2 linked regions of the Alligator mississippiensis genome follow. The main gene of each other region encodes a partner of the protein of the gene in region 2 in a complex. Links are inferred from orthologs where the notes say so. Each region holds a gene or a part of one and is shown on either strand. Other genes may lie near its edges. The genes, in order: CD2BP2 and AAR2.

Evidence for each region.
Region 1: AAR2 (region 2) and CD2BP2 share a complex: the UniProt entries of both Homo sapiens proteins name them as parts of the U5 snRNP complex. The link is inferred for Alligator mississippiensis from reciprocal best matches to the Homo sapiens genes AAR2 and CD2BP2.

What each region holds. Positions count from the first base shown.
Region 1 is NC_081830.1:653,822-669,350, forward strand, and holds CD2BP2 (CD2 antigen cytoplasmic tail-binding protein 2), read right to left. Parts: upstream 7,031-15,529; 5' UTR 6,851-7,030; intron 6,765-6,850; exon of another isoform or gene 6,524-6,764; intron 6,505-6,523; exon of another isoform or gene 6,409-6,504; intron 6,298-6,408; exon of another isoform or gene 6,185-6,297; intron 6,069-6,184; 5' UTR 6,055-6,068; coding exon 5,980-6,054; intron 5,853-5,979; coding exon 5,726-5,852; intron 5,389-5,725; coding exon 5,231-5,388; intron 4,979-5,230; coding exon 4,450-4,978; intron 4,367-4,449; coding exon 4,251-4,366; intron 2,366-4,250; coding exon 2,255-2,365; 3' UTR 2,153-2,254; downstream 1-2,152. Other genes in the region: BICDL2 (BICD family-like cargo adapter 2), read right to left, coding at 133-852; TBC1D10B (TBC1 domain family member 10B), read right to left, coding at 10,327-10,938, 12,699-12,853, 13,082-13,271, 13,468-13,533, 13,684-13,798, 14,143-14,249, 14,327-14,434, 14,730-14,829. UniProt on the Homo sapiens protein: Involved in pre-mRNA splicing as component of the U5 snRNP complex that is involved in spliceosome assembly.
Region 2 is NC_081832.1:22,951,102-22,967,006, forward strand, and holds the start of AAR2 (protein AAR2 homolog), read left to right. Parts: upstream 1-10,112; 5' UTR 10,113-10,143; coding exon 10,144-10,885; intron 10,886-13,346; coding exon 13,347-13,576; intron 13,577-15,905. Other genes in the region: EPB41L1 (band 4.1-like protein 1), read left to right, coding at 2,495-2,575, 2,864-2,980, 5,521-5,529. UniProt on the Homo sapiens protein: Component of the U5 snRNP complex that is required for spliceosome assembly and for pre-mRNA splicing.

The sequences.
Region 1 (15,529 bases), on a different chromosome or scaffold from region 2:
GAAGGAACCCAGGAGTCCAGGTGGAGCTGATTTACTCCCTGTGCGTCACCAGGGCCCCTCCCAGTCCCAAACTGGTCTGGCTGGGAGGGGCCCCGATCTTGGGGCGGTGGGGGGGGGGGGGGGGTCACTCACCTCCAGGGCCTGGGCGTGGTCGTGGTCCTGTGCCTCCTGCTGGCGCCGCAGCTCCTCGTTGGCCGCCAGCAGCAGCTGCCCCAGCTCTGCCGCCAGCGCCAGGTCCCGTTCCACCCGTGCGAGCCGTGGCCCTCCCCCTGGCTCCCCCCCTGGCGCCCCCCCCTCCTCCCCATCCTCCCACAAGGCCATGGTAGGGGGTGCCCAGACGCCCGGGGTCCTTCCCGGACTTTGGAGGGGGGCCGGGGCCAGGTGCCTGGGTTCTACCTGGCTGAGGGGGAGAGGGAGGGAGGCTGTAGGGTGCCCGGACCCCTGGGTTCCTTCCCTGACCAATGGGGAGGGGATTGGGGGGGGGGGTAGGACACCTGGGTTCCTTCCGGGGGGGGGGGGGGGGTAGGGGACCCAGATGCCTGGGCTCTTCGGACTGGGAGGGGGGGGGGTTTGAAGCTTGGGGTTTGCCCCTGGCTGATAGGGGAGGGGGCAGCTGGGGGGGTGAGATACGGGGGGCGGGGGGCTTAGCTGAGCTGGACGCGTGGCTTCCCTGCAGCAGCTGCGGTGGAGGGAGGCTGTTGACTTCCCGATTCCAACCCCAGGTGCGGAGGGGGCAGGGCCACCGCCAAGCCCCACCCCCTGCACACCTGAGCCACTCCAAACCCCAGCTCCAGCCGCTGGGAACAGCAAATCCTGCTCCCCCTGCAGCCTCCTGACCCCCCCCCCCCCCATGGGGTCCCCAACCCCTCTCCATCACGGGAACCCATTGTGGGGTGACCAGTACTGGGGTGACACGCGATGGGAGCTATATCGGGGGGTGACAGGAAGACTCGTGATGAAGTGACACCATAGGGAACCCATGTTGGGGTGACACAGGTGGGTGGGGGCTATACTGGGGTGACACGTGGGGTGGGATCCTTTTTGAGAATGGCACAGATCTAGCTCTGGGGGACTCTAATCGGTGTGACACACGTGAGAACCCTTATGGGGGTAACAGACACACAGGGGACTGCTATTGGGGTGACACACCCAAAGGCGGGGGCCCATATTGGGGTGGCACATACCTCCCTGGGGACTGTCATTTGTTACGCACCGCTACCAACTATTATTGGGGTATGAGATATGCAGGGGACCCCTACTGGGGTGCCACCCAAAAGGGGAGACCATACTGGGGTGACCCCAGTCCCCCTGGGGTGACCAGAGGACTTTTATTGGTGTAACACACCCCTGGAACCGCTACTGGGGTAGCAGACACCCACACGAACCACTATTACTGTGTCACACCCTGGAGGGGGGAGCTGCCCCACTGCACATCCCCCCCTCATGTCACACTCATATCCCCCCATGCATGTGTCACCCCAATATAGATCCCCCCGCAGAAAGCCCAGCACCTTTTGCCTCCTGTGTGTCACACAAATATGGGTCCCCTGTGGGTTGGTTGGTGTCACACCAATATGCTCCCAGCCCCTGAAAATCCAGCCCCTGGACACTTACTGCTATGGGCATTACCCCAGTATCAGCCTGCTGACCTGCCCCCTCCAGTGTCTCCCTAAAAGGGGTCCCCCCCACCCATGGGTCTGTCCCGTCTGTCTCTCTGGAAAGACCTCGGACACCAGCCCCATCAATGCAGGGTGCGTCACCTCAAAAACAGCCCCCCGCAATCCTCCACATACATGTGTCATGCCTATGGGGGTGCCCCCAGTGCTAGGAAGTTCCTATGATACAGCTGTCTCCCCAAATCAGGATGGCCCGTGTGTCACACCTATATAGGTCCCCCCCAACGCTATGCGTCTCCCTAAAACTAGGACCCCCACAAAGACATACGTGTGTCTCACTCACATATATATACATATATATATAAGTTCCCCCCATGTACGGTTCCTATGATGCAGCGGTCTCCCCAAAATCAAGCCCCCCTGCCCCCACGCGCGTTACACTTATATAGGTGCCCCCATGCAGCTGGCTCTAGGGAGCCTTCCCCTGCTGTGAGCGGGCAGCTAGAGGCCAGGTAGAACGGAGCGGCAGCCAGCTCTGGGGTGAAACACGACATTTTTAATCCAAACCTGTGTACACAAAGATCCCTCCCCCCAAAGTCTCCAGGCTGGGACTGCCCTGAAAATCTGGGCCTCGGGGGTCACGTATAGAGGTCAAAGTCGATGCGCTTGGAGCTGTAAAACTGCCCGCCCGGCGGGTCCAACTTCCGGCAGTAAACCCCGTCCGCGAAGTAGCCCTCGGACACCCACTCCTGCGGGGGAGAGAGAGACGAGGGGGTGAGTCGGGGGAGAGATGTGGCTGAGGCGGGGGGGCACGAGTGGAACGGCGCCATGCAGCTGGCTATGGGGCAGCGGGTGTCATGGGCTGGGCATGACAGGCACCCCAGGCTGCAGCCTGCTCTGGGGTAGGGCAGGGGGGTCACACACACGGGCACAGATCATGTGATGCACCAACATGGTTATGGGGGGACCCATATTAGAGTGACACACACGCTGACAGGATGGAAAATGGGGGTGCACGTATGGGGGAACCATGTTGAGGCAATGTGTGCACACAGAAGACTTATATAGGGGTGACACGCATGGGGCAGGACCCACCAGAACCACACACGGAGCTGGGGCGTCTCCATATAAGGGGAACTCACACACGAGGGAAATGCACGCATACAGGGGACCCATACTACCGTGACGCACACAGAGAGGGACTCGTATCAGGGAGACACACACACACAGGGACGTCGCCATATCAGGGTGATGCACGCTTGGGTGGGACCTGCACTAGAGATGCACACGTACAGGGGACCCATATTGGGGAGACACATGCAGGGGGACATGTGCAACATGCACGTGGGGAGACACACACACATGGGGGGGCCAAAGTGGGAAGACACACACACACAGGAAGATCCATATTGGGGAAACACATATGGACACACACCCATGGGGGGGGAGGGGGGGCACATCAGGGAGACACCTATGAGAGAACTGATACTGGGGAGAAATGTGTGCACGCATGCACGGTGGGAACCCATATAGAGAACACGCACATGGGGGTGGACACACACACAGGGACCCATGTCAGTAAGACACACGGACGCGCACACACACACACACATATATGGGGGGCCCTAATTGGACACACACACAGACCCATATCAGAGACAAGCACACATACACACATGGGGGGTTCTAATTGGGGGTGGGTGGACAGGCACACACACACATATATGGGGGCCCTAATTGGGGACACACACATGCGTGTGGGGAGGGGACCCATCTTGGGGTCACGCTCACAAACATATGGAGGAAACCCATATTGCGGACACACCCTGGGGAGGGAGGGAGGAAGACCCCCCCCCCCACACACACACAGAGGGACCCATATCAATGAGACACAGACACACACGGCAGGGCCCAAAGTGAGGACACCGGGGAGGGGATGATACTGGGGACACCCCCCGGGAACATAAATTGGGATGATACACAAAGGGATGCATGTAAGGGGGGGACCCACACTGAAGAGACACGGGAGGAACTGTATTGGACACACACACACACACACACACTGGGGGGACCCATATCCAAACGCACATGGGGGAGCCCACGTTGGGGGACCATTTAGGGGAAGGCACCCCCAAAGGCCCCCCCCCCCGTGTCACACTAATAAGGGTCCCCCATGTCTAGCCGCGTCACACCAATATGGCTCCCCCACCCACCACGTGCACCAATGTGGTGTTCCCCCTTGTTCCGGGCCCGTATGGTCCCTCCCATGTGTCCACCAATACAGGTCATCCCCGTGTATCACACCGACATGGGTCCCTCTCAACACACACCGCATCAACACGCATCCCCACCCGCATGACAAGCCAATGTGGGGCCCCACTACGGGTGCCGCGTCAATACGGGTCCTCCATCGCGTTCCCCACAACAGGCGCCTCATCAATGGAGGTGCCCCCCACTAGCATGGCTTCCCCTCACACGTCACATCAACACGGCCCCCCACACGTGTGCAACACCAGTGCGGTCCTCCCCGCCCTGTATGCTGCCAGCATGGGCCCCCCGGCCTGTCACATGCAGCGGGCGGCTGTGGGGCGCGGCCGCCAGGATGCGGCTGAGTCTGGGGCGGAGCCATCCCACCTGCATCTGGCTGCTGCTGAAGGGCCCGTAGAGCTCCGCCCCCGCCGTGTTCTCCCACTTGTACTCCCACAGCACCTCGTCCAGCGCCGCCTCCGCCACGGCCACGGCCCCGCCCCCTGCGGGAGGAGGGCACAGCTCAGCCCCGCCCTCTCACAGGCAACGCCCCCTGCCCCGCCCCGCCCCGCCCCGCCAGGCTCACCAGACTCCTGGGTTCGAAGAGCCGCCTCATCCACCTCCTCAGCAAACATGTCGAGGGTGGGGCCAGTGGGCGTGGCCTGGGCAGAGGGCGGGGCCAAGGCCCGGAGGCGGAGGGCCAGGCGCTCCCGCGTCTCCTGGTAGACGCCGTAGTGGCCCCGTGCCACCATGAGGTCGGCCAATCCCGAGAGCCGCTCCAGCCGGCCCCGCCTCTCGACCTCCTCGGGCGGCTCTGGCTCCGGCTCTGGCTCCGGTGCTGGCTCCACCTCTGCCTGCCGGCCCCGCCCCCGCCCGCGGCCCCGCCCGCGGCCCCGCCCCCGCCCCCTGGGCCGGGCCCCGCCCCCGCCCAAGCGCTGGATGGCCCGAGCCACCGTCTCCCCCGGCCCCACCAGCTCCACCAGCCCCTCCAGCGCCGCCTGGGGGTCTGGGAGGGGCGGGGATTCCCGGCCGGGCTCCGTCCCCTCCGCTTCGGGGCTGCCCCCTCCCTGCTGGGACTGCCCCCGGCGGCGGGCGGGCAGCGGCTTGACAGTCACCTGCGGGGGAGGGGAGGGGAGGGTCAGGGCCCAGCGCAGCCCGCGACCTCCCTCCTACCTTCCCACCCCCTCTCCCCGGGCTCCCCATCTTCCATCCCAGTCTGTCCCAGTTCCTCCCGGTACCCTACAAAGCCCCCTCCTCCCACCCCAGTGTCTCCCAGTGTCCCTCTCCTCCCATCCCAGTTCTCCCCAATGCCTCCCAGTGCCGTTGCGTTGCCCCGCAGTGTCTCCCACTCCTATGCCAGGCCTCACCCAGTCGAGCGAGTCGAGCCAGGCGTCTGGGGGCCCGTCGTCGCCGCGGGGGAAGTAGTTGCCGGCGGCGTCGAAGTGGCCCTCGGCCAGCTCCTCCCGCAGGTTGAAGGGCGTGAAGCGCACCCCCTCCTCCTCCAGCACCGAGCCCGGCTCCTGGCCTGCGTGACGGGCGGCTTCAGGCTCCGCCCACCCGCCAGCCCACCCAATACCCCCACGTCTGTGATAGACAGCATCCAGCGCCGCTGGTAAGCCCCGCCCACAGGATAACCATCCCAGGCCCCGCCCACAGCCACGAAGACCCACCCACTGCACCTGCGGTCCTTAGTAAGGGGCCGCCAGACTAGGCTCCGCCCACCCACCGGTGACGGACAGCCTTCACAACAGGTCCCGCCCCCAGCTACCAAGAGGCGAGGAGCCTCTGGCTGCTGGTTGCGGCCTACCAGTGCAGGCCCCGCCCCCTGACCCCGCAAGCCCCGCCCCTTGACCCCCACTCACCCTCCACGTCCTCCGGGGCCAAGATCCCGCCCCCGGCAGCTTCTTCATCCTCGTCCTCCTCGTCGCTGTCCAATGAGTGCTTCCCCTTGAACCGGCTCCCGGGGCCGCCGGGCTCCGCCTCCTGCACCTATGTGCGGTTAAGGGGCGTGGTCATCGTCAAGCTCCGCCCCCTTCCTCCAGGACTTCACCCCACCTTGAGTACGAGGTGACGCAGCCCCAGGCTCCCAGAGCCCCCCCCCCCCCCCCGCACTCACCCCACGCTTCTTGGGCAGCCCCCCCAGGTCGTCGTCGTCGTCCGGGTCCTCGAACGTCACCTTCCGCTTGGACATGGCGGCCCAGAGCCCTGGGGGCAGGAATGGGGGTGAGGGGCGGCCCCAACCCCCTCCCCCGGGGGGGGGGGGGGGCAGTCCCTTGCTTCCCCCAGCCCTCTCCCTTCTTGGTCCTGTCCGCCCCACGCACAGGTCAGGGCGAACGCGAGGCTGCCGGGAAGCCTCCCCGCCAGGGGGTGCCCCGCCACCCGCTCAACCCAGCCCGGAGGGTGCCAGGGCCTCCAAAGACCCCCCGAGCCCCTAAATGCCCCGGAAACACCCCCAAAGGCCCCTCCCGCGCGCCGCCGCGCACATATGCAAATGAGCGCCCCCAACATTCCAAGCGCCCCCCCCCCACAAAGGAGCCCCGCGCACCCGGGACTCCGCACTCAGCCTGCACTTCCGGGTCGCCCAGCCCCTGACCCCGGAAGTGACCTCAAGCCTCGTCGTCGGACCAGCCCCCTGCTTTTTTCTTTTTTTCATTTCTCACCAGTGAATTTACTGTTTCAGGGATTTAAACAGATTTACTGTTCGAAAACACTAAAAAAAGCCCACAACTTATTTATGGGCGACTTCCGGGTGTGAATCCCCGGATGTGACGTCACACGCTCAGGCCGGCCTCTTTTTATTGGTTTCGTCACCCGCGTGAATTATCTTTACTTGCTGGGATTTAAACCCGGTCTTGGAGGGGTTCCTGCCCCCGGCCAAGTATATATTAAAGGGGGAATACGACTTTCGGGTGCGGGCCGGAACTGACGTCAAGCGAAATTCGCCCTGCCCCTTTTCTTTAATTCCGCCCCCCATTTCTTTTTTTTACCTTATTATTATTTCGAAATTTAAGTTTTTGATTTTTAGGAAGAGACTTGGAAAAAATATCGGGAGGAAGCAGCTTCCGGGTGCGGCCCCTCCCCCTTTTTCTATCCCGTTTTTTATTTCTTCAGTAGACGATTTATTCATTCGTATTTATTCAGTGGTGAGGGGCAAGGAGTGCGGCCGCTGCCAGGACAGGAAGTGACGTCGCTGCGCGTTTGCTTCTCTGGCTTCAATAGGAGGGGGAAGCGTGAGCAGGAATTAAAGGGGCCGCGGGCCTTTTCTTTGGAGGGCAACAAATGGAAGTGACATCAGGGCCTGGCAGTGGGCCCGGTGGAACAAGGGAGGGCGGCAGCGCGAGTAGCTCTTAAAGGGGCAGTGCAACCATTTCTCCATTCTCCCAGACCCCCCATCCCACACATACTGCCCTGCCACCCACCAATTACCCCAAAGTATCCACTCAAGACCTGCCCCTTGAGGGGGGAGGGGGGCCTGCAGACAGCGCCATTAGCATGTGCTGAGGGTGCCACCCCCCACCGCACAGGCTGCTATGCCCCGGGCCCTGCACATGCCTAGGGTTGGCTCTGCCTGTCCCCCCCCCAGTCCCCCAACCCCTCCCCATGGAGCGCAGACCCACAATCTCCAGCACCATCACCAGTAGGCTGCCAGAGCATCACCTCGTGGCCCCCCAGACTCAGTCCCCACCTTCTTAACCCCATACCCAAAGACCCCCGAACCAGAGCTGAATGAGCTCCTGCCCCCCCCGCAGAAAGACCCAGTGACTCTAGACCCCCCACCCCACAGGCCTCAAAGAGCCAACCACACTCAAGAGACTCACCCGCCCCCCAAGGAACTGCACTGTCCGCCACCCGATGCCCTTGAAGACTCAGCGTCTCCTGGCCAGGCCAACCTTGGGTCAGCCCAACCCCGGCCCACCAAACCCAACCGTGGTCACCCCAACTTTAGCACCAGGAACTCAGTGGCCAACACCACAGAAGCCCCAACACCCCTTCAAGCAGACCAGCCCCTCCCCCGCTCTGCAGGTGACCCCGCCCCCAATGCCTTTGAAGAACCAACATCTCCCCACCCAACATCCTTCAAGACCCCACATCCTCCACTCAACCCAACCGACATCCCCCCACCCCTCTCACACCGGATCGGTGTCTCTGCCCCCGCCCTGTGGAACAGAGACTGAATTCGCAGATTGGTTCTTTCATATCGTTTGTATTTTTTTCCTTGTTTTTTTGTTAACGAACCTTTTGAAACCCAAGCGACAGAACAAAAAGATAAACCAATGGATGGGAGAATAGGCACGAAAGGGGAGGGATGGGGGGGGCAGAAATAAAAATCAGAACATCTCCGAGGCGGGGGGAGAGGAAATAAAGGACGTATCATGTAAACATCGCGTGTCCTGATGTGCCTGCCTGGGGCACGGGGGCGGGGGTCAAATGATATTGGGGTCAAAGGGGGTGAGGTCAATGACTTCCAGTGTCTGTCCCTTTAAATTAAGTCATGGCGGAGTATACATAATTACAATATGGAGACATATATATAATATATGTGTAAAGACACGTATATACATGGGACGCAGGGGCACAGAACCCAGACATCTGGCCTCCCAGGCCCTGAGCTATCCCATCAGCCCCCACTCCCCTCTCACAGCTGTGACCATGCCAGGTGAGCTCCCAGAGCTGAGGGCAGGGTTTCCAGTTACGTTTTGGGGGAGGGGCAAGCTCCTCATTGGCCAGCAGCTAGGCCTCAATAAAGCCCACCCCCAACTTCCTGGGGAGGGCTGCTGTTGGGGAACAGGGAGTGTTGGGAAACTTCCCCGCCCAAACAAGGGGGACAGGGGGAATAAAGTCCTCAGCCAATGAGGGCACACCATCTGAGGCGCTCAGGAAGCGTACAGATGGACGCGCTGTCGGGAGGCGATAAAGTTCACCGTCCAATGAGGACGCACCGTCGGCGGGCAGCACGTTGACAGAGCGCCCCCGACGAGGAAGCCAGCGGGCATGCTGTCGGCGGGCAAGAACACTTGACGTTCAATCCGGAAGCGCAAGGCCGGACAAAACGTCTCGAGCCGGCCGCCCAATGAACCTCGCCCAGCGCCCTCTTGGGGAACAAGGGGGCCTAGTCCAGCCCGCCCGCTACGAGAATGGACAAACTTTATCGGGAGCCCAATCAGTGAACAGCAGGCTGCCCAGCCAGGCCCTGCCCCCTTCCTCAAGAACCAATGAACTTTATCGAGAGCCACATTGGCAGACAACAGGTTCAGGGACGGGGCAAATAAAACTTTATTGGTACCCCTGGGGGCCAATATCAGTGCAAAGGAGGAGCGTTCTGTCGCTAGGGATTGTGGGGAGGAGGTGGGATGAAACTGGTTAAATAGTTTAAGGAGGGAGGCGGGGCCTATTTACAAACAGGGGCGGGGCCTCATTGGGTTACTATTATTAATACAATTATCTCCTCGTTAAGACTGGGGCGGGGGTGGGGCAATGCCCCAGTAGCCCTTCGGGAAAGGGGGTGATGTACCTGGACCTCCGCCCCCCTCCCCATTGGTGGGGAGGAGGAGATGGCGGCCATCTTGGTTGATGAGGGAGCCATTTTGGATCAGATGGGACCCCCTCCTGGGGGAAAGAGAGGGAGGGAAGCCATCTTGGGTAAGCAGCAAGCCATCCCAGATGAAATGGAACCATTATTGGAGGCAGGGAAGCCATCTTGGGTAAGCAGGGAAGCCAGGATGGACAAGATGGGAGCCATATTGGCTGAGGGAACCCATGTTGAACTGGAGAACGGACGCCATCTTGGTTGAGTAGGAAAGCCATTCTGGATGAGATGGGAGCCATATTGGATGAGAGAAGCCATCTTGGATGAAATGAGAGCCACATTGGAGGAAGGAAACCATTCTGGATGAGATGGGAGCTGCCTTGGTTAATGAAGTCATTCTGGTTGAATCGGGAGCCATATTGGATGAGGGATGCCATCTCAGTTGAGTAGGGAAGCCAGGAGCCATATTGGATAAGGGAAGTTATCCTGGTTAACAAAACCATCCTGGATGAGATGGTAGCCATATTGAAGAAGAGAAGCCATCTCGACTGAGTAGGTAAGCCATCCTGGATGAGATAGAAGGCATCTTAAATGAGGGAAGCCATCTTGGTTAATGAGGCAGGAGCCCTATTGGATGAGGGAAGCCATCTTGGCTAAGAAGAGAAGCTGAGGAGCCATGTTAGCAGATGGACACCATCTTGGTTAATGAAGCCATCCTGGGCAAGATGGGAATGACCTTGGTTCAACGAGGAGTGAAAACGACTCATTTGGCATAGTGAGAAGCAAGGGGGTGAAAAACATTGGGGGATGGGTGGCCGCCAGGAGCTGAGGGACCCCAAAATGGTTTCCCATGAGTCTCCTCAGCCCCTGATCTCCCCAAAATTGGTCCGTCACCCCTCCTGCCCCTCCTGTATCCCCGGGGGGCAGGGGAAGAGTTCAGAAGTAAGTGTCCTGCAGCGTGGATCCACCTGCCCCGGGCTCCCCGTCCTCCGGGACCACGCCCCCAGATTTCGGGGGCTCCCGGCGACGGAAGGAAGTCTTCTTCTCTTTCTTTTCCTTCTTCTCTCTCTTTTTCTCTTCCTTCTCCCGCTCTTTCTCCCTTTTCTTCTCCTGCTTCAGCCGGGCTTTCTCCTCCTTCTCGCGCTTCTTTTTGTCCTCGGGGCCCACCCCTTTTGTGTCCCGCTGGGGGGGCCCTGCCCCCTTGTGGGGGCCCCCGAGGGGGGCGTTGTTGCCTGTTGGGGAAGGTAAGGCCGGGTGCAGCCCCTCTGAGACCACCTGGCCTGAGGCGGCCGGGGGTGCGGCAGCAGCAGCCAGGGGTGCCAAGGTGGGGCGAGGTGGCTGGGGGCGGGGCTTGAAAGCCAGGCCAAGGAGGCCAGGGCTGGCGCCAGGGGGCGGGTGGAGGCGGTGGCGCTCCTCATGGATGGCGCGTGAGCCGTGCAGGCGCCGGGAGGGCTTGTGCTGAAGCTCGCCCCGCGTCTCCCGCCACTTCTTGAGCTGGGCCCCACTCTCCCGCTCGATCAGGGCCTCTGTCACCGGCAGGCTCACCACCTGGGGGGGAGGGAGGGATCATGGGGGGTCCTAAGGGCATCTGAGCAGCCCCCAGTGCCCCCTTTTGTCCCCTAGCAACCCCTGTCATCCCAGCATCCCCTAACACTCCCCAGAGCCCCAGTACCCCTTAGTAAACCCCTGTATGCCAGCATCCCTTATGAGTCCCTGTAGCAACCCCTTCTGTCCCAGCATCCCCTAGCAACACCCTCCACAACCGCTACTACCCCTTAGCAAACCACTGTATTCCAGCATCCCCAAGCAAATCCCCTCCATCCCCTAGCAGCTCCCCCACATCCCAGACTCCCTTAGCTACTTCCTGTATCCCCTAGCAACCCTTCCACATCCCAGCATCCCCTAGCAACACCACCCACAGCCCCTAGCAAAGCCCCCATTAGCAAACCCCCATATCTCAGCATCTCCTAGCAACTTTCCTCCGACCCCACTCCATCCACTAGCCAACCCCCCATCCCAACTTCCCCTAACAACTCCCAGCACCCCATCGTTCCCTAGCAACCCCTCGCATCCCAGCATCCTCCAGTGACACGCCACATTCCACCATCCATGAGTAGGGCCATGAGAAAAGGTAAGCTGGGGAAGGGGAAGGGAAAGGGGCATGGGAGGCATATCGACTTCTGTCACAGGGAGGGAAGGAGCGAGGCAGGGGCAGGACTGAATGGGGCTCCTGGGCAGGTGGTAGCAGCCAGCTCCCCTGGCCTCCCGCCGCCTCTGGCTGTGTGCTGGGTGGCCATACGAGCATGGGTAAAGTATCGTTTTTCATGGAACTGCTGGGACCCGTCTACTAAGTTCTGGTCCCGTGAAGAGTCCATAAAAAAACGATACTTTACCGCGAATTTTCAGCAAAAAATCTGCCGTTTTTTCAGGGCCCAATCCGGTAGCCAGCCCCAACATCCCCTACCGACCCCCTTCCAGCCCCGAGCAAGTCCTCATCTGAGACTTCCCTAGCTACCCCCATATCCCCTAGCAACACCCCCACATCCCACCATCCTCTCGTAACCCCCAGCATCCCATAATTCCCTAGCAACCCCTCTCGATCCCCTAGCAACTCCTCCCACATCCCAGAACCCCCTAGCAAACCCCACCATCCCAGCATTCCCTTGCAAGCCCAAGCATCCTCTAGTGACCCCCGCATCCCAGCATCCACGAGCAACCCCATGCCAGCATTCCCTAGCAACTCCCAGCATCCCCTAGCAATCTCTCTCCAACCTCTAACAATTCTCCCACATCCCAGAGTCCCCTAGCTACCCATCTCCTAGTTCCCCACCCCCCGACATCCCAGCATCCCCTGGCAAATCCCTGCATCCTGTAGTAACCTCTCACATCCCTTCACAACCCCTCCACATCCCAGCATCCCCTAGCAACTCCAAGCTTCCCAGCATACTGTAGCAACCCCCCGCATCCCACCATTCCCTAGCAAACCCCAGCATTCTCTAGCAACCCCCCATATCCTGGCATCCATTAGCAACCCCCTATATCCCAACCCCCCCAGTAATCCCCCACAGCAACCCCTTGCATCCCAGCATCCCCAAGCGAACTCCCCACACCCCAGCTCCCCCCACACTCCATCACTACCTCCCCTCCGCCCCTGCCAATGCCCCCCACATCCTAGAATCCCCTACTGACCCCACACCCCTTACAACCCAATCACCCTCTTGCAGCCCAGTACCCCTTAGCAACCCTCCCTTTCCCCCAGTTCCCCACCTCCAGCCTCGCAGCACCCTCCAGGGGCCGGACTGACTGACCTCGTGCACCAGCACCTCCTCCTGCAGGCACTGCAGTGGAGGGTTGCGCAGCTTCTCCATCGTCTCGTACATGCCCTGGCAGCTGCGCAGCTTGTCCACCGAGCCCAGAGTGCTGCGCAGCAGCACCAGCCCCACGCGGAAGATGATCTTGACCCCTGGAGGGGTGGGAGGAGGCAGGTGGTTGGCCACAGGGCAGGAGACAGATGGGTTGGGGGAAACAACAGGGACCGTGGTGGTGGGTCGCAAGTGAGGGGCACCGGTGCCCGGGGGGGGTCTGTGGGTCAGGAGTGAGGGGCCCAGTGGTAGGGAAGCAGCGGTGACTTGGGAGCAAGAGGCCCCACAGTGGGGCAGGGGACCGGGAGGCGGGGGGGGAAATGACTCACCCTCGCAGAAGAACATGTCCCAGACGCGCAGCACTGAGCTCCAGGGCAGAGTGCGGGAGAAGACACACATGAACCACTCGGTCATGTACAGAATGGGGTCAATTTTGAACTTCTTGAGGTGCCGGTAGGCGATGGGGCAGGCGCGGCGCAGCAAGGCAAAGAAGATCTCCCCGTCCAATTGGATCGCTTCCTGTCCCGGGGGGAACAGAGACGTGTCACATCCTGTTCCCACACCGAGGCAGAACGCTGCCACCTCCATGGTGCCCCCCAGATGTAGAGAAAGAGAACCTGGATGCCTGAGTTATCTGGGGAGTGGGAGCAAGAGAGGCTGGGAGCCCGGACGCCTGGGTTCTCCAGGGTGGGGGGGGAGCAGAGGCACCACTCACCAGGCCTGCGCTGTAGTAGCCAGGCAGGTACTTCTCGCAGATCTGCACCAGGCACCAGAAGGCTTGCTGTGGGGAGAGACGGGCGGTGAGACAACGTGCCGGGACAGGAAAACGGCTGGTCCAACCAGCGCGGGAGGGAACCCAGGTGTCCAGGCTCCCAGCCCCACCCCTGCCCTGGAGAACGCGGGGCAGGGGGGTGTTGGGGGGGCAGCTCACCTCTGCGGGCATATGCATGAGGAGCACGGCGGCAACAGGGGCCTGGGCCTGGCAGTAGCCCTCATCGGGGCGGTACACGGTGTAGGCCTTGAGGATGCGGTACAGGTCCTGCTGCCTGGGCCGGGGGAGGATGGGAGAGGGCATGACGCAAGCAGGAAGGGCAGGGGCCAGCCCTCCCCCCCCTCCCTGGGGAACCAGGTATCCGGCCTCCTGGCCCCCACTGCTCCTAGAGAACCCAGGTACTGGGCTCCCAGAACCCCCTGCTCCTACCCCCCCACCCCAGAGAACCCAGGTGTCTGGGCTCCCTGAACCCCCTGCTCTCACCCCCCAGCCCCTACCATCTTCCCAAAGAACCCAGATTTTTGCTCTCATGTGCCATCTCCCAGGGAACCCAGGCGTCTGGCTCCCAGACCCCCTGCTCCCACCCACTCAGGGAATCCAAGCACCCAGGCCCCTCACCCGTGGCCCCCACGGGCGGCGAACATCTCATGGAAAGGGAACTGGCGGTGCAAGTCCTTCTCGATGACATCCAGCCACTTGGGGTCACCAGGCTGCCGCTCCAGCTCCTAAAACAGGGAGCAAATGGGAGCAAGGGAACAGGGTATCATGGGGGCGGGGCAACAGAAAGGGGGGCAGGGCCTACCTCAAACTTCTCCGGGTTCTGCTCCAGCAGCTCCTTGCTATTGGACAGCAGTTGCCAGGCCTTGGCGCGGAGCGAGGACGGGATGCCCTTGCGGCAGCGCAGCTTCACCTGGCAGGGGGCAATGGAGCAAATTGAGACCCTGGGGGGTCAACTGGGGGGTCCTCGGAAGCCTCTAGGGGCCTGTTTGGCCAAGGGGAGACCACAGAGATGCAGGGAAGAGCCACCAGAGTGTCCCATTAGTGCGATGGAGCCCTCCAGTAGTGGAGAGGAAAGCTGCGCTTGCGCTGCAGCCGGATCTGTCCACTCTGGCCCAGCTCCTCTCCCCACCCCGGGAACCCAAGCATCCGGGCTCCCAGAATGCCCTGCTCCTGCCCCCCAGGAGCCCCAGAGTGGGTGCACTCACCTTCTGGAACCGGCGCGACAGCCACTTGTCCCAGTGGGAAAACATGTCTAGCCACTTGAGTTCCCGCTGCCGGGCCACGTCCACCGGGAGGGCACTCTCTCTGAGGGGGGGGATGGGGGTCAGACCCTGCCCCTGGGGGCACCTCATTCCCGACCCACAGCCTCCCCAACAGCGGTGCCCCTCACTCCCAACCCGCAACCCCCCTGACAGCTGTGCCCCTCGCCACCAACCCGCTGCCACCTCATTGGAAGTAAAATTAATACTAGGAGCCGAGACGCCTGGGTTCTCTAGGGTGGGAGGGGGGTGGGGGTGAGAGCAGGGGGTTATGGGAACCCAGACACCTGGGTTCTCCCCGGTGGGGGAATGTGGGAGCAGGGGGTGTTGGGAGCTCGGACACCTGGGTCACCTGGGAGCAGAGCGCGTACTGGGTGGGGGCTTGACCCTGAATTGTGCCCCCCATCTTTGGGTACTGGTCTGTCCCCAACCAGAGGGTCCCAATCCTGAGCCACCAGCTCTCATAGGGGCCCAGGGGATGCTGGGATGTTGGACGGGGAGAACACAGATCTCTGGCCCCAGGGGGTAATGGTGCAGGGGGGGGCAAGACCACAGGGCAGTGGGGGAGGGCGAGGCAGACAGGAAGTGCTGCCGGGGAAACAGGAAGTAGCAATTGGGGCAGCTTCATTGAGAAATGGGAAGTGCTGGGTGGGGGGAGGATTTCAGGAACAGTGGGGAGGAGGTGGAGGGGACACCCTTCCCCCCCACCCAGCATCTGCCCCATAGACCCACTGCTGGGAGCAAGG
Region 2 (15,905 bases):
TCAATGAGTTCTTTGCCTCAGTGTTCCTAAGTGAGGGGCACGACAAGTCTCTCACTGGGGTTGTAGAGAGGCAGCAGCAAGGTGCCAGACTTCCACGCGTAGACCCTGAAATAGTGCAGAGTCATTTGGAAGAACTGGATGCCTTTAAGTTGGCAGGCCCGGATGAGCTCCATCCAAGGGTGCTGAAGGCACTGGCCGACATCATTGCAGAGCCACTGGCGGGAATATTTGAAAGCTTGTGGCGCACGGGCCAAGTCCCGGAGGACTGGAAAAGGGCCAATGTGGTTCCCATTTTCAAAAAGGGGAGGAAGGAGGACCCGGGCAACTATAGACCTGTCAGTCTCACCTCCATCCTTGGCAAAGTCTTTGAAAAAATTATCAAGGCTCACATTTGTGAGAGCCCGGCAGGACAAATTATGCTGAGGGGAAATCAGCACGGGTTCATGGCAGGCAGGTTGTGCCTGACCAATCTAGTTTCTTTTTATGACCAGGTTACAAAACGCCTGGACACAGGAGGAGGGGTGGATGTCATATACTTAGACTTCAGGAAGGCCTTCGATACGGTATCCCACCCCATACTGGTGAACAAGTTAAGAGGCTGTGACTTGGATGACTACACAGTCCGGTGGGTGGCGAATTGGCTGGAGGGTCGCACCCAGAGAGTCGTGGTGGATGGATCGGTTTCGACCTGGAAGGATGTGGGCAGTGGGGTCCCACAGGGCTCGGTCCTTGGACCGATACTCTTTAATGTCTTCATCAGTGACTTGGACGAGGGAGTGAAATGTACTCTGTCCAAGTTTGCAGATGACACAAAGCTATGGGGAGAAGTGGACACGCCGGAGGGCAGGGAACAACTACAAGCAGACCTGGACAGGTTGGACAAGTGGGCAGAAAACAACAGAATGTAGTTCAACAAGGAGAAATGCAAAGTGCTGCACCTAGGGAGGAAGAATGTCCAGCACACCTACTGCCTAGGGAATGACCTGCTGGGTGGCACGGAAGTGGAAAGGGATTTTGGAGTCCTAGTGGACTCCAAGATAAACATGAGTCGGCAGTGTGACGAAGCCATCAAAAAAGCAAATGGCACTTTACCGTGCATCAGCAGATGCATGACGAATAGGTCCAAGGAGGTGATACTTCCCCTCTATCGGGCGCTGGTCAGACCGCAGTTGGAGTACTGCGTGCAATTCTGGGCGCCGCAATTCAAGAGGGATGCAGATAACCTGGAGAGGGTCCAGAGAAGGGCCACTCGTATGGTTAAGGGCCTACAGACCAAGCCCTACGAGGAGAGACTAGAGAAACTGGATCTTCTCTTGCGGAGGCTGAAAAGGTTGAGAGGCAACCTTGTGGCTGCCTATAAGTTCATCACGGGGGCACAGAAGAGAATTGGTGAGTATTTATTCACCAAGGCGCCCCCGGGGGTTACAAGAAATAATGGCCACAAGCTAGCAGAGAGCAGATTCAGATTGGACATTAGGAAGAACTTCTTCACAGTTCGAGTGGCCAGGGTCTGGAACGGGCTCCCAAGGGAGGTGGTGCTCTCCCCTACCCTGGGGGTCTTCAAGAGGAGGTTAGATGAGCATCTAGCTGGGGTCATCTAGACCCAGCACTCTTTCCTGCTTATGCAGGGGGTCGGACTCGATGATCTATTGAGGTCCCTTACGACCCTAACATCTATGAATCTATAAGAGCCATTTACCATGTCAAGTTAATGGGCCAAACTCATCCCAGGTGTAATGCAGATTTAATGAGGTGCAGCAGCAGTGTAGATTTGAGCCAATATATCTCTTGCTTGCTTTTTTTCTTTTACTGTTTTCTGCATTTAAGAAGGGAAGGGAATTTACCCTGTGTGTGTCATATATGTAAACACATCAGGGCCAAGCTGTGGTTGCTTTTGAAGGGAGGGGGGATTTTATAATCAGAGCCATAAGGAACAGGACACGTTTTCAGTAGGGTAGAATTCTTATAGTACTTGGCAAGGGCCTGATGCTGCTCCCACTGAAGCCTCCCCCTAGCTTTTATTGGATCAGTTAAGGGCAGTGCCCAGCATTTTTTAATATCTCACCCAACCTATCCAATGCCAAACGGGTGCCATTTGGACGTTGGTTGCCAAGTGGAGAGAGGCCGTTTCTGCATGAAAATGTCTTTCTGAGAGCACCTCCCCTCCCATCTCCAGGCATCCGATATTGGAGTGAGAACAGGTCAGCTCGTCTTTGCCTTTTGGGCAGTGCATGGGGAGGGAGGAGACAGTGCAGATCCTGTTGCTAATCCCAGGGAGGAATCAACATCAGCAACTTGAACTGCACCTTCATGTGAATGAGACTAGCTGAGTCTGCAAAGCAATATTGGGAAGTGTTCCCCTTGTCCACCTCCCACCAAGCAATCAGGTCACCATGTTCTCCACCTACAAAGGCCACAGTAGTTCTTTAGGGCAAGTGCTTATAAAGTTCCTAATCCAGCCTCTGACCTCATCCTGTTCCCTTTTGCATTGCAGACTGTGAAAGGAGGGTTTTCAGAAACCAGAATAGAGAAGCGGATCATTATTACGGGAGATGAAGACGTGGATCAAGACCAGGTAGGAAGCTGCCTGTGTGAAAATAGTCAGTAGTTCTGGGGAACTATCACATGACAGTTTTTGTCAGTACTCATTTTCTACTCTGATATGAAAGCTAGTCCATCTACAGTCCAGCAATCCCTGGGAGCGATTGCCTTCCTGAATGAATCTTTTAATCCAGGGTGTGAGAGGGAGGGTTATTTGAGGTGAGAGGCCTTAATGGGCACAGCAAGCTCTGCTAAGATCAAATACTAGTGAAAGCCTTAAATGAATTAGTGGCAAATGTTTTATTGTTATTCTGATTCACAGGCATTAGCTTTGGCAATCAAAGAGGCCAAACTGCAGCACCCTGACATGCTGGTAACCAAAGCTGTGGTATATAGAGAAACAGAGCCTTCACCAGAGGAAAGGGACAAGAAGCCTCAGGTATGTACAGAAGTTCCAAGGTAGAGCACCTATCACATGGTCACGCACGCACACGCACACACACGCATACACACATGTGCACATGCACACACCCCCCCCCTGAGGTGACAACATATATAGAATGTCCTTCATCATCCTCCATAGGTTCAGTATACCAGTATCAGTAAATAGTTTGAGTTGGGACTTGAGAGATGCCAGTAAAGGCCAGGAACTCCTCTTAGTCATGGTGATGGAACAGACAGATTGCCTGTTGTTACAGTAGATAATAGCATAACTAAATACTATATGCTTTCTGAAAGGCCTCTCCTACAGCAGTCAGGGAGATATTCCTGTAGGATAATTATTCCGCCAGCTTGCAAAACAGCTGTATGAGCAGCACCTCAGTGCTTAATGTTCTTAATCCAGGTTTGTCACAGGGACCATTACAAAGGGCCATATTGCATTTTAGCTCCCTTGTTTGTGTAAAGCCTTTCTTAGGGACCTCTGTCACTTTTTCAATAGCTTACTTCCTCAGTGTACAGTACTTTATTCATCTTCCTTCCTGAACACCACAGGATGTCTTTTCAAAGGGCCTACAAAATGGCCACACTTGTGACTGAACTCATAAGTGCAGATGGATCTTTATGTTTGCTGGAAAGAACTAGCCTGCTCAGACAAATGGTGATGGCATGTCTGGTCACCAGTTCAAATTCAGCCCAATCTGACAGTGACCAAAGGTTGCTTCCACCTGATCACTATTAGAAAGCCTACCACTACAGTGAGTCCCGTTATTGGTAATGTCAGCAGAGAGGCCAGAGACTGATTATAGAGCTTGAAGAACATTCTCATTCTTACAAGGTCCTTCTAGGGGCTAGGGATAAGCCAGCTTGGTGGATGGGGTTGTTGCAGGAAGCTTATTCTGCTACCTGACTTTGTGGATAAACTGAGGAGTTCACTCCCCAGATTCTGCCAGCACGGGACAAATCACAAGAGCTACATTTGCAAGAAGCAGTTATTTAATACCTCCTCAAGTTCCCAAGTTCACTTCTGTATAACTGTCCATTTGTCAGTACAAATGCGCATTGTTTGCACATGCAATCTTGTGAACTCGCACTTAAGTCCAGGTGCATTTCTAGAGGCTTCTTGAAAATCTGGCTCCATTTTCCTTTTCTACATGATCTAGATAGTCTTGGCTTAAATGTCAGGGCTGGAGAATGGCAGTTTGAAAAACGAGTTTCGTTAAGGTTTTCTTGCATAGTCATTCCTTAAACAGGACTTCTTAATTGGATAAATGAAACTGACAGAATCTAAATGGAGCACTATACCTAGACATAATGGGCAAACTCTAACCATGGTGCAACTGTCAGCTTCAGAAGACAGTAATCTCAAACAAACTTGTTTACATTGGACAGATAGTAGAGCTATCTAGAGTCCAGATCTGTTACATTTTTTAGTATTGTTTTTCTCAGGTCACATCAGATTAGCTTTCAGGAAACAGAAGCTGCAAGAAAAGAGCAGCACTGAGCCAGCAAAGGTCATAAGGAGCTCAAACAGGAAAAACAAGATAATCAGAGGGCGTGTCCACGTGACATGCTGACTGAACAGTAGCCAAATAATACTGCGCAGTAGTGCGTCACACGAACGGTGCTAATATGTTACTACAAAGTATTATTAGGTTACTGCACAATAATGTCACTTAAAAGACATTTGCCAGCACTACTGCACAGTAACTCCAGTTACTGCGCGTTTATTTAGTACTTGCTAATACAGGTACCCAATAAATGCACAGAAACAACTGCACAGTAGCATCTTGCGTAGACATGCCCTGGAGAAAACGGGGATGCAGCAGCACCATGATGACAGTAAAGAAAGACCAAGACTGCACTGAAGGAAGGCTGTAAAAGCTGGGTCCCTGCCATAAAGTGCTGAGCTGAGTGCTCATGTTGTCCCTAAGCACATTGGGCCAGATCCTGTCCTTAGCCATGGTCCGATGCTGCAAGGCACCATTTGCCCTCAACTCCCATTTGCCCTCAACTGATTTCAGAGACTAGAAGGCCAGAGGGATTGTTCTGATTCTCTAATCTAGGAGCAGTAGGTCATCATAATGCAGCACGGTTGAGGCAGGCCAGCACTTCTGACCTGGCTGCTGCCAAGTGCTGCAGAATTTCCCCAACAGCAGGGAAGCCCTGTCTCCAAATTTATGTACTGCAGAAATGCTGCTGATATCCAGGCTTCATGGACTGGATGGAGTTCTTGGCTGGCTGAATCCATCCTGTGGGCCATAGGTTGCCAGCCTCTGTTCTAATCTTACCTCCTGCATAACGCAGAACAGGCAAAGTCACTCAGTAGTTTCAATGGCACCTTGCAGAATCACGCTTTTACATCATTTGAATTCAGTTGTGGGGTACCAATGGAATGGAGAATGAAATATGGCCCTGTATGTTTCGAGCAACATTGTTTAGTGTTTTAATATAAGCAAGAACCTTTTAATAGACCAGTAAATTATATTGACCAAATAAGAAAGGAAATACTCCATGATCGTTTACATCTGCTTTGTACAGGAATCTTGACCTCCACGTTCACCGACATTGGCATCTCTATTCAAACAAAGCTGGAGAACAGTGAAGAAGGGGCCTTCATGCTGGATTTGTCAACAAGACAGACATCCTGGCTGCAACCTTAATGGCGAGAGACAAAAAAAAAAAAAAAAAAGGAATAGCGAATATATATTATATATATATATATATATAAATATATATATACACACACACAAGAAACAAAACGCATCCTTGCACTGCTGCTATATGCTGGAGATGAGATGAATTACAAACAGCAACATCAATAACAGCAAAACCAACCGCCTCTTTTAGCCTTTGCGGAGAAAGTGATGAATTTGACTGGACTGATAAGAAAAATCATGATAATAATAATCTTATTAATACAACAAACCGCCATTTTGCATGTTCCATTTAAAGGATACACAGATCATGGGGTCATTTGTTGCACACTGAATGGAAAGGAAAGATGCTTTGCAACAAAGCAAGAAACAAACAAACAAACAAAAGAAACCAAGCGGAAACAAAACTATTCCCCACCTAAGGAAAGAAGAGAGAGAACCATTGAACTGTTTTGATTCTTTCATGATTATTTTTTGCATTTGGGATGTGTGGCAACCACCTCTCTTCCCCATTCCATGCTGGTTCTATTGCATCATTTTTCAGTTGTTATGCTCCTCCCCAACCTCCCTTCCCTTTCCTCTGTCCCTTTATCCGAGCTCTTTTTCCGAAGGTATTTAAGAATGGATCTAATTTGAAACAAAACAAAAACAAATATATGTATATGGTTTTTCATTTATAAAGATGCAGCCTGTAAGGGTTTCATATGGATGTGCTTTTAAGTTATGTATATTATATATAACAAGGGGGGTGGGGAACTGAGGGGTGGGAAACAATATTAAAATAATTAAACAGTGCTGGTAAATATGATGATGACATTTTTAAGTTATAATTATTTGATTGACTGTGGTTGATGTATTACAAGAATCTTAGATCACACTGACATCCCGCAGGAAGAGGATGGGGAACATTTCATTAACCACTGCTCGCTGTGGGGTGGAGAGGAATGTTGCATTTGTCACTGAGTGATCAGCTCTGTGGCAGGAGGAATTGATGTAGTGATACAGTATATGTTTGTAATTGGTTGGTTGGTGACAAAGGAGTTCTTGGTAATGTAAAGAGGCGAGGGCCTGGGAAAGAAGGAATGGACAGTTATAACCACAGCCCAGTTAGCATCACCAAAATGCACCAGTCAGCAATGTCTCACCAGCCCCCCCAACAAAAAGATGCTTCCCACCTTTAGGAGTCCTTGACACCCCCCCCGATCTGGAGTCCCCACAGCAGTAGAGAGATCATGTCATACTCCTCAGCGATGTCTTAAAAACCAGGACCAAAGTCTGAGTTACAGATCCATTCCCACACCCTACACCTACTGAAGCAGGACACTTGCATAGCTGCATTTCTGAACCCTGGTCTTGATCTAGCTCAAGTGAAGTTGAAGTGGTGTGTTTCAGATAAGCAAGAGGGTATTTCTGCTCTGCTTGGCTTTGAAGCAGGCTGCACACCTGGTTTCTGCTAAGGTGACCATAGGCGTTATGACAGCTCTCATGAGGGGAGCTGATACACAGCAATCTCCATCCTTTACCTCTTTGGTACTGTTCTACCACAGCCTTGCCTAGAGTATACTCCTATCTGCTGGCAGTTGAGAAGGTGACTGTGTGTTACAAAGATGTGTGAGTGCAAAGCTTAGTAGATTAGCAAGGCTGAGTAGCCTTGTCCAGTCAGCCAACACTGAGAGGCAGTTGCTGATGATGCACCAGTGTCCAGTGAGGCTGCTTTCCTCTCTATTGGTCAGACTTTTGCACCTAGATGAAGGTTTCCATCACTGGTACACTTGGAATGGGGATTATGGGTGCCAGCTCAAGCCTCATATACTGTCAACCAAGCAGTTAGGGCAAACTCAGAACCAAAAAAAACAACAAAACAAAAAAAAATCAACTGATTTCCAGAGAAATTGTCCCAAGCTCCTCAAGTTACAGAAGGGCCCATAAATATTGCACCATTTTTGCCTTTTTTCACAGACCACAAACATAAAGAGACCTTACACCAGGTAGAAAACTCTTCTAAATGATTCTTGTGATGGGATCAGAGGGTTGTATTGAAAAGGGATCAGTAGAATAATTAGGATTAAGTGGACGTACCCATCTGATCAATCTGCTGCCACAGCAGAGAACTTCGGGCCTCTGGTGGATCTTGGTCCTTCCATTTGCCTTCTACTATGTCCCCACAAAGTCTGTTCTCCTTTTGGCACATCAGTTTCTCCCATAAGCATTAATGGCATGAGCACAGCCTCCCTGATAAAAGAATTGATTCCTTTGCTTCTGCCAACAAAGTTTGTGTCAGATTTCCAATGAATCCAAATGTGTATTTTTTCTCCCAGGATTCTCCACCTTATCACCCGATGCTGCTTTAGGGAACTGTGCCCACCAACATCAAAAAGAGACTGAGCCTTTGCACAGCAACCCACATGTGAACTAGCTACATAAAGCACTTGTGCTTTTGGGAAGAGAAGCCAAACTCCAGGAGATCTGTTCCCACAGCTGTGCAAAATATTAGGCATGTTTCTCCCATTGGCATGCTAGGGTGTGTCCCAGCGCAATAGTTTTTTTCAATACATCCTGCATTTCAAACCAAAGAGCAGCTGGTGCAAACTTGAGACCACTGACTTTTGAATAAGAGGCTACTCAAACTCTTCGTGCCTGATTCTGGTCTCTCATGATGGTTTAAAATTTGGAGCAACTTCATGAGCATCAGTGGAGTTACACTGCTGTAAAACCTAAGTAGGAGAATTGCACTCAGCCCCTACATGTTCAGATTTTTAAAACTGAATCCAGTTCTCTGGATTCTTCAACCCAACGTATCTGATGGGTGACAATGAAAAAAGTGGGGGAAAAAAGTGGAGTCTTTTGCTCACCTGGCAAAGTATGGATTTTATATATACAGAATATTTATTCTTTGTGATCATATTTGAAGCCAGGTGCCCCTTGAAAGTTTTGGCTTTCTTCTGCCTTGTTCATTACTGTTGCTGATATTTAAGGTAGCTGATCACTCTTTTTCTTTCATCTGGGGGCCTTTCCATCGAAGGAGGTGGGAGACGTGAGTGCCTGTTCATACCTAGTCCCACAAGTTCATTCCAGAATTGGCCTGCAATTGCATGAGTACTAATAATAATAATAATATTTATTTTTATTTGAAAAGCACCTTACCAACCAACTGCAATGCTCTGCCATTCCTTCACTAATTCCCCTTTCCTCTTCCCTGGTTCCTCTTCTCTCCTCCACTCCCTTCAATCATATCCCTTTCAGTGCTTGGTGATGTATGCGTGTGTGCTCACTGTTCTTGTATTCAATAAAAGTGAAATAAATGTGTTTGATGCTGAACCAGCTTGTGACCTGAAGCTGACTTTTCTCTGAGCAAAGCAGTGGCAGTTACTACCCTTAGGAGCAGAGACTCCTCAGGGTGACAGTATGCCCAGAGGCAGCTGGGTCTCCCACAGCTGGCTGTGATGAGGACGCCGAGCAAGGACCATACATTGTGGGTTGGGCAGAGCTGCCCAGGTTCTCATCCAGGAGCCTACCTAGTGCAGAGATCCAGTTGAGAAGAGGAAGGATGGGAGGTCATGCTGTCCTGCCAAACTTCACCCACAAAATACGTTTCATAGATTCATAGGCTACGTTCCACCCTTGCAAGCCACCGAAAGGGAACCCTGCTCACAGCAGGCTGTAGATGTTCAGAGCATGAAAGTACGTGCTGTCCTGGTGTCTCTGCATTGCTGGGACCTACTCCTGAATACATGTCGGTCCTGTTAGGTGTTTGGGGGCTTGGTTTCTTTTTGATGGGGAATCTTCAAATGTCTATCATTTGTGGCACTGAAATGACGTGGGGATAAAGGCAGGCTGGGAGGCAGAGCTTGGATGGGAAATACTGGGGGAACTTGGAGAGGAGGAAGAGTCTGCCATGAACTGCCATCCATGTGGGTGTCCCTGAAGGGTTTCTTTGTGGGAGAAGGGCAAGTCTTGTCCCTAATGCTCCCCTGGCTGAGGACAAGGACATGGTGGGAAACCCTAAGAGGATTTATAACCCAGGCAAGGATACATCATCAATTATACACCACAATCACGTTGAAGCATTATTGCGGAGACGGTTGCATGTTCTTGAGGGAAAGCAATGCCCACAAACAGGCATTCAGTGGCCCCATGAAACGAGCGGGGGCTCCCACGCTGCCTCCTCGGGGACGGGCGCACTGAGCCCTTGCAATTCACCCGGGGCTGACAGCTTCGCTAACGGAGCAGCGCGGGGCTGGGGGGCAAAGAGTAACATGGACTCGCCCTTTCAGCCCCATTCCTCCGGGCCGTCGTGGACAACATTGCCAGCGCGCCCGGGGCAGGCTGTGACGCGCCCCCGGTGGCGAGGCCCGGGCCACCGCCGTGTCGCCGGGAGACCGAGCCCGGCCCTTCCCGCGCGGCCGCAGGAGCCGCCCGGTGCTTTCGCGGCCGGACCCGCCGGAAGTCGCCGGCTCAGCGGAAGCCGGGGGCTCGCTTCCGTGCGTGAGTGCGTGCGGAGCCGGGCATGGAGGCGGAGCGGGCGCGGCGGCTGTTCGCGGAGGGCGCGGCAGTGGTGGTGCTGGGGGTGCCGGAGGGGACGCAGCTCGGCGTGGACTACAAGACGTGGAGCGTGGGGCCCCGCTTCCGCGGCATTAAGATGATCCCCCCGGGCGTCCACTTCTTCCACTACAGCTCCGTGGACCGCCGCGACGCCGGCGCCTCGGGGCCGCGCACCGGCTTCTTCCTCAGCCTGCGGCGCCGCGACCTGCGCGTGCTGCGCTGGGACCCGGCCACGGAGCTGGTCGACCTGAGCCCGGCGCCCGCGGAGCAGAGCGAGGCGATCCGGGCCAACCTGCTGGAGATGGACCCGTTCCTGGGCCCCTACCCCTACGACACGCTCAAGAAGTGGGTGTCGCTCAGCAGCTGCATCAGCGAGGCGGTGATGCAGACGCTGCAGCCCGAGAGCGGCCAGGTCTGCGCCTTCTCCGAGGTGCTGCCGGTGCTGGCGGGGACGCACGCCAAGGACCGGGCTGAGCAGAACCGGCCGCCCTACGACACCGAGTGCAAGAGCTATGCCGAGGGCCTGGCCCGGCTGCCCGAGATGAAGCCCAAAGCGGGCACCGAGATTCGGTTCACGGAGGTGCCGACGCAGATGTACCCCGACGGCGCGACCCCTGAGGAAATCACCAGGCACAACATGGATCTCAGCTACGCTCTGGAAACCGTCATAAACAAGCGATACTCCAGCAAACCTGAGGATGTGCTGGGTGAGTGAGAGAGTTTCCCGTAACTAACTCTTTGCCAGCATGAGCAGCGGAGGGGGGGGGGATGTCCCCCTGTACCTGTTGTGCCAGGAACTCAGCCTGTGGCTTTGTCGGGGAATCACTGGGCCCAGGGGCTGGCACTCTTTCAAAGCGGTGGCAGCAGGCTGGGTGCTTGCAAACTGTGCCAGTCCCCTGTCCCTGCTGCTGCAATCCCTCCTTGCTCTGCGCCCCCACACGCTTACTGTCTGCTGCTGAAAGCCATGAAAAATGCCAGTGAGGAGCCGGCAGACAAGGTTCTTTGGGTGAATGTGATATCTTTTATTAGACCAACTTAAATAGTTGGAAAACTTTTTATCAGTGAGCTTTCGGGTTTAAAAACTCTTCTTCAGGCTGAGGAAGCACCTGCAGTTTGTATGCACTCTTCCTGGATGGAAGGAATAGTAAAGAGGCCAGAGGCTGATCTGCAGGCAAGACAGATAGTCAATGAAAATGTAAATTGAGGAGTCAGTGGGGGGGGGAATGAATGAATGTAGCAGGTAAATAGTAGAGAGGCGTTTGGGGAGTCGGAAGTCAAGTAGGTTATAATGTGTCATAAATCCAATGTTTATATTTAGTCTGTGCTTTTTGTAAATAGGAGGTTGATGAAGTAAAGTTCACAGGTTCATCTGTGAAAAGTGTTTTGTAAATTCCCTTTGAGGATTAGAACCGAGGAGCCGCAAATTCAGCAGTGAGGGCACAGAGCAGGAAGCTATAAGCAGCTATCTAAATGTGGTCTCTTTAAATCACCACTTTAATGCAGTCCATTTTCATCTGCATAATAGCTTGAATATGGTAGCTTTTCATCTCTTGTGTTCAAACAGCAGAGGCTGAAAGACTTGGGAATAAGTGATGCTTGTGCACTGCTGGTGACCTCTTCTGGTAGGATTTGGGGGTTGTGCAGAAAGCTTTGAGTAAATACTGTACAGAACAATGTATCATACATTATTTAGCGACACATTAGAAATTGCCAGCTGGTGTCCCTCAGTGGCAGTGCTTTAATTACCTGCTAATTCCAGTGGAAACAATGATAAATCCTTGTTGTATCAGAAGTTGTTTGAATATTCTTTCCTTGGTGGCATTGTATGAGGACTGTGAAACCAAGCAGGGACGGCATTGTTATCCTTTGGATAAATCCCTAAATGATGAAATATCAATTTTCATTTCTACCTAGGAGAACTTTTACTATCTTTGCAATCTCCTATGCCTAGCGAAGGGTGCCTGTGCCCAGAAGCTTGCAAATAAAGAATTTTTTTTGCAAATATCTAGTTGGTCTAATAAAAGATACCACCTCTGCCACAAATTTTGATTCCTTTTGCCTCTAGACCAATATGGCTACAACCTGGATACCTCCCTAGATGGTTGATATTTCATATCAATTTCTTGTTTCTTCTTTTTTCCTGTTAATTTTCTGCCTTTATGAATCATAGTGTGGAATGTTCTAGGACAGGGGCTGCTGATCTGTGGCCTGTGAAGCTGTGGCTGTGGCGGAGGAACAGCTCTGCTCACACAGCACTGCAGTAGGGCACTGAGGACTTTGGTGAGGGGGAGCTTTCCCTGTGCCACAGCAGGATGGCAGGGAAAAGTGGTAGATGCAGCCAGGTCCTAGTGCCAGCCCAGCTTAGCCCTGAACTGGGTCACTCTGGCTCTTTGCCAGCAAATGTTGGCAACTCCTATTCTAAAAAAAAGCTAGTTTACTTGCAAGTTAATTGTTTCTCGTAAAGCACTGGATAGTGTTAGATGTTGATAATTCTCACAAACAAGACGAGTCTAAACATTGGGCAATTTTTAATTTTGATCAGGAGTAGTACACAGTATACTGCTCACGTTAGTTATGCTGTACATATTAGTTATCGTTTTCTTGTTTTGATTGTCTGGCTCATCTGGCGGTACCCACACCATATTGTAGTTACAGTAGCAGCCTCGTTTGTCCTGTTGCCCTCCTTGGAAGCACAGGCTTTGGAAAGCCAAGAGGATAGGGATCACAGGAGGATGTAATGCCTCCATTTTTGTAGTGTGATAATTGTAGGTAACAGCGTTTTATAACAATAAAACAGACAATACCATATCCAAGTGTCTGGAAGTCACTTCACAGCAACGTTACTCTCTGATTCTATTTGATGATAAAGTGGCTCTCCACAGTAAACGGCTGTGCTAAACATGTCCTTTTTTGATTGCAGTATGCTTGTTTCCTAGTCACATAACAAAGGAGTGGGAAGCAATCAATGTCTGAAGGACTGACAATTGTTACTGTAGCACAACCATTGGGATCAGAAGAATCTCTTTGTGTGCTGGAAAAAGGCCAACCTTACTAGTGTATGCACAAATCTGCATAGCTGTCAAGGGCTGCATGTGCCTCTTTCACTTTGATTCACTGACTAAAGTCCTTTTCTGTCTCTTTTTTTTTTTCTCGGTGGGGCATTTCCAGGTGAATTGCAGTTTGCTTTCATCTGTTTCCTGATTGGGAATGTGTATGATGCGTTTGAGCACTGGAAAAAGCTCCTGAATCTCTTGTGCAGGTCAGAGGATGCCATAGGGAAGTATCAAGTTCTCTACACCAGCCTCATTTCTGTCCTGTACCACCAGCTCAGTGAAATCCCACCGGACTTCTTTGTGGACATAGTTTCCCAGGATAACTTCTTAACTAGCACTCTACAGGTAAGTCCACCCTCTGCAGAAAAACAGTAGTATGAAAAAATCTCACGAGAATGAGGATGGAAACATAACATGGGATGAAATTCAGATGAGGCTGGGGATGTAGATTGGGGTGGGATTCACTGCCTTTCACTTCATGTGAAATGGTATGCATGAAGGTCTGAGGGCACACCTACACTGATGTTCAAGGGGTTTCCTTCATTCCTTCATCCAGCGCTAGGTACTTGAACTTCCCTTTCCCATCTCTGCTTTACCTCAAAGCCTACAACTAAGACTTCCATGCTTCTTGTACATTGTTCCAAAAACACTCCAGAGTGGGATGTCCTAGAAGTAAGGCTGCTTTTCCCTCAGCTCTGAAGTTTAGAAGGGGTTTAGGTGTCAGCTGGACTACCATCCACTGCTAAATAGGGATTTCCAGTATAAACTGTTGGGTTTGGGCTTCAAGGTGGCTCTAAAGTTGACCCTAACTACCAGTTTGGATACAGTCATAGATTCTCAATTAATTGCCTGTGTGCTATTTCTGCAATCACCCCACTTAAATCTCAAAGGGCTGAATGAGGTGTTACAGTCCTCTAATTTAAAAGGCTTATTACAAGGTGCCACATCTTGTTAGGGCTCATGGCCTTATGAGTGTGAAGTAAACATTCTGTGCCAGTGTAGCATATCCATTTTAGAGGTTGGTGCAGTATAACTCAATTAATTTAATTTCACAAGTGCAATTTCTTAAAAGAGGGAAGGTCTTACTAGCAGTGCAGAGATGGGTAGATTTGAGCAAGGGTAATTTAGTTCATCATAAAGAAGATCGGCTTTTGTGATAAGTAAAAGCCTGATGATACTAATTTTGATCATCTTAGATGGCAGGATGATATTGTATGTGAGGAAGTTGGAACGAAACCTTGTATGAGCTTAGAGCACTGGCAGTTTCAAATAGGAACCTTCCTCGCCCCCCTGGCATGAATTGAAGCTCAAAATAATTTGTTTCACTAGAATCCAATTGTTTGTCTTCTGAGAATTTAAAAATACTCCTGAAGAAAGAAGTCTGCAAAGAAGTCTATATTGATGCTGGGATAAGACCTCTAGGGTAGATGATTGCACCACCTCTGCGGGGCGGGAGCTTGTTCCATAGTCTGGACACCCTAGTTGTAAAGAAGTTTTTCCTAATGTTCAGCCTGAAACTATCTTCTAGGAGTTTGTGGCCATTATTTCTAGTTTTCCCCCAGGGCGCCCTGGTGAACAATTGTTCACTGAGCCCCTGATGTACGCCTCTGATATAGCAGTAAGCCGCAATCAGGTCCCCTCTCAGCCTTATTTTCTTTAGGCTGAAGAGTCTGAGATCCCTCACCCTCTCATATGGCTTGCTGCGCAAGTCCCTGATCATGCAGGTGGCCCTTCTCGGGACCCACTCACTCCTAATCCACAGCCCTTCTCTGGACCCCTCTCGGGCAACAGTGTCAAAAGCCTTGTTGATGTCAGGGTATATTACATCTGCTACCCTTCCCCATCCATGAAGCCCATCACCTTGCCTTAGAAGGCAATCACAGCGGTCAAGCATGACCGCTGTGGACGAATCCATGTTGATTGTTCCAGATCACCAGGGATCTGGGTTTTCCATTTGCTGTGGAAAAACCTGGATTCTCTCTTTTAAAGGAGAAAAAGGTAGAAAACTATGGCGTTCCCCTTGCAGGCTGGCAGTATTCCAGCCTGCAAGAGGCTGCTTGGGGCTAGGGGAATGCCAGGAGCAGGAGGAAGCTGATCACAGGCTGGGGGTACCACATGCACGTGTGCATGCACATGTGCATGTGGCAGCCAGGCAGCATGATGGAGAGCAGCTCCCGCAACTCCCTGCAGGTAAGTCTGTGGTGGGGTGGAGCATAGGCAATGCATCCAGGGGGGACATGGGGAGGGGCACATACCCCTCTAGATTTTTGAGCCCACAGCAGGCACATGGCCCAGCAGGCAAGACCTAGAGCAGGAGGGCAGAGCAGGGCAGTGAGACTTGTTGCTGCCACTGCCAGGACCCCTGCAACAGTCGTGCCACCAGCAGCATGAGGAGTAATGGAATGGGGGCGAGGAGTGGTGCTGCTCTCACCTCCTCCACCACCAGCCCCTCACATGCTGGGCCACAGCTCTACCCCAGAAGGGAGGTAGGGTGGGGGGCAGTGCAGGCAGTCTGATGGGAGTGGTGGTGGCTGGGCCACAGTGGCAGGGTAGAGCCACGGCCCAGCACACAAGCAGTGAGAGGACGTGAGGGCAGCACAGCTATCCCCCCGCCCCCAGCCTGTTACTCCTTGTGTTGCTAGTGGCACGGCAGCAAATCTCACTGCTCTGCCCT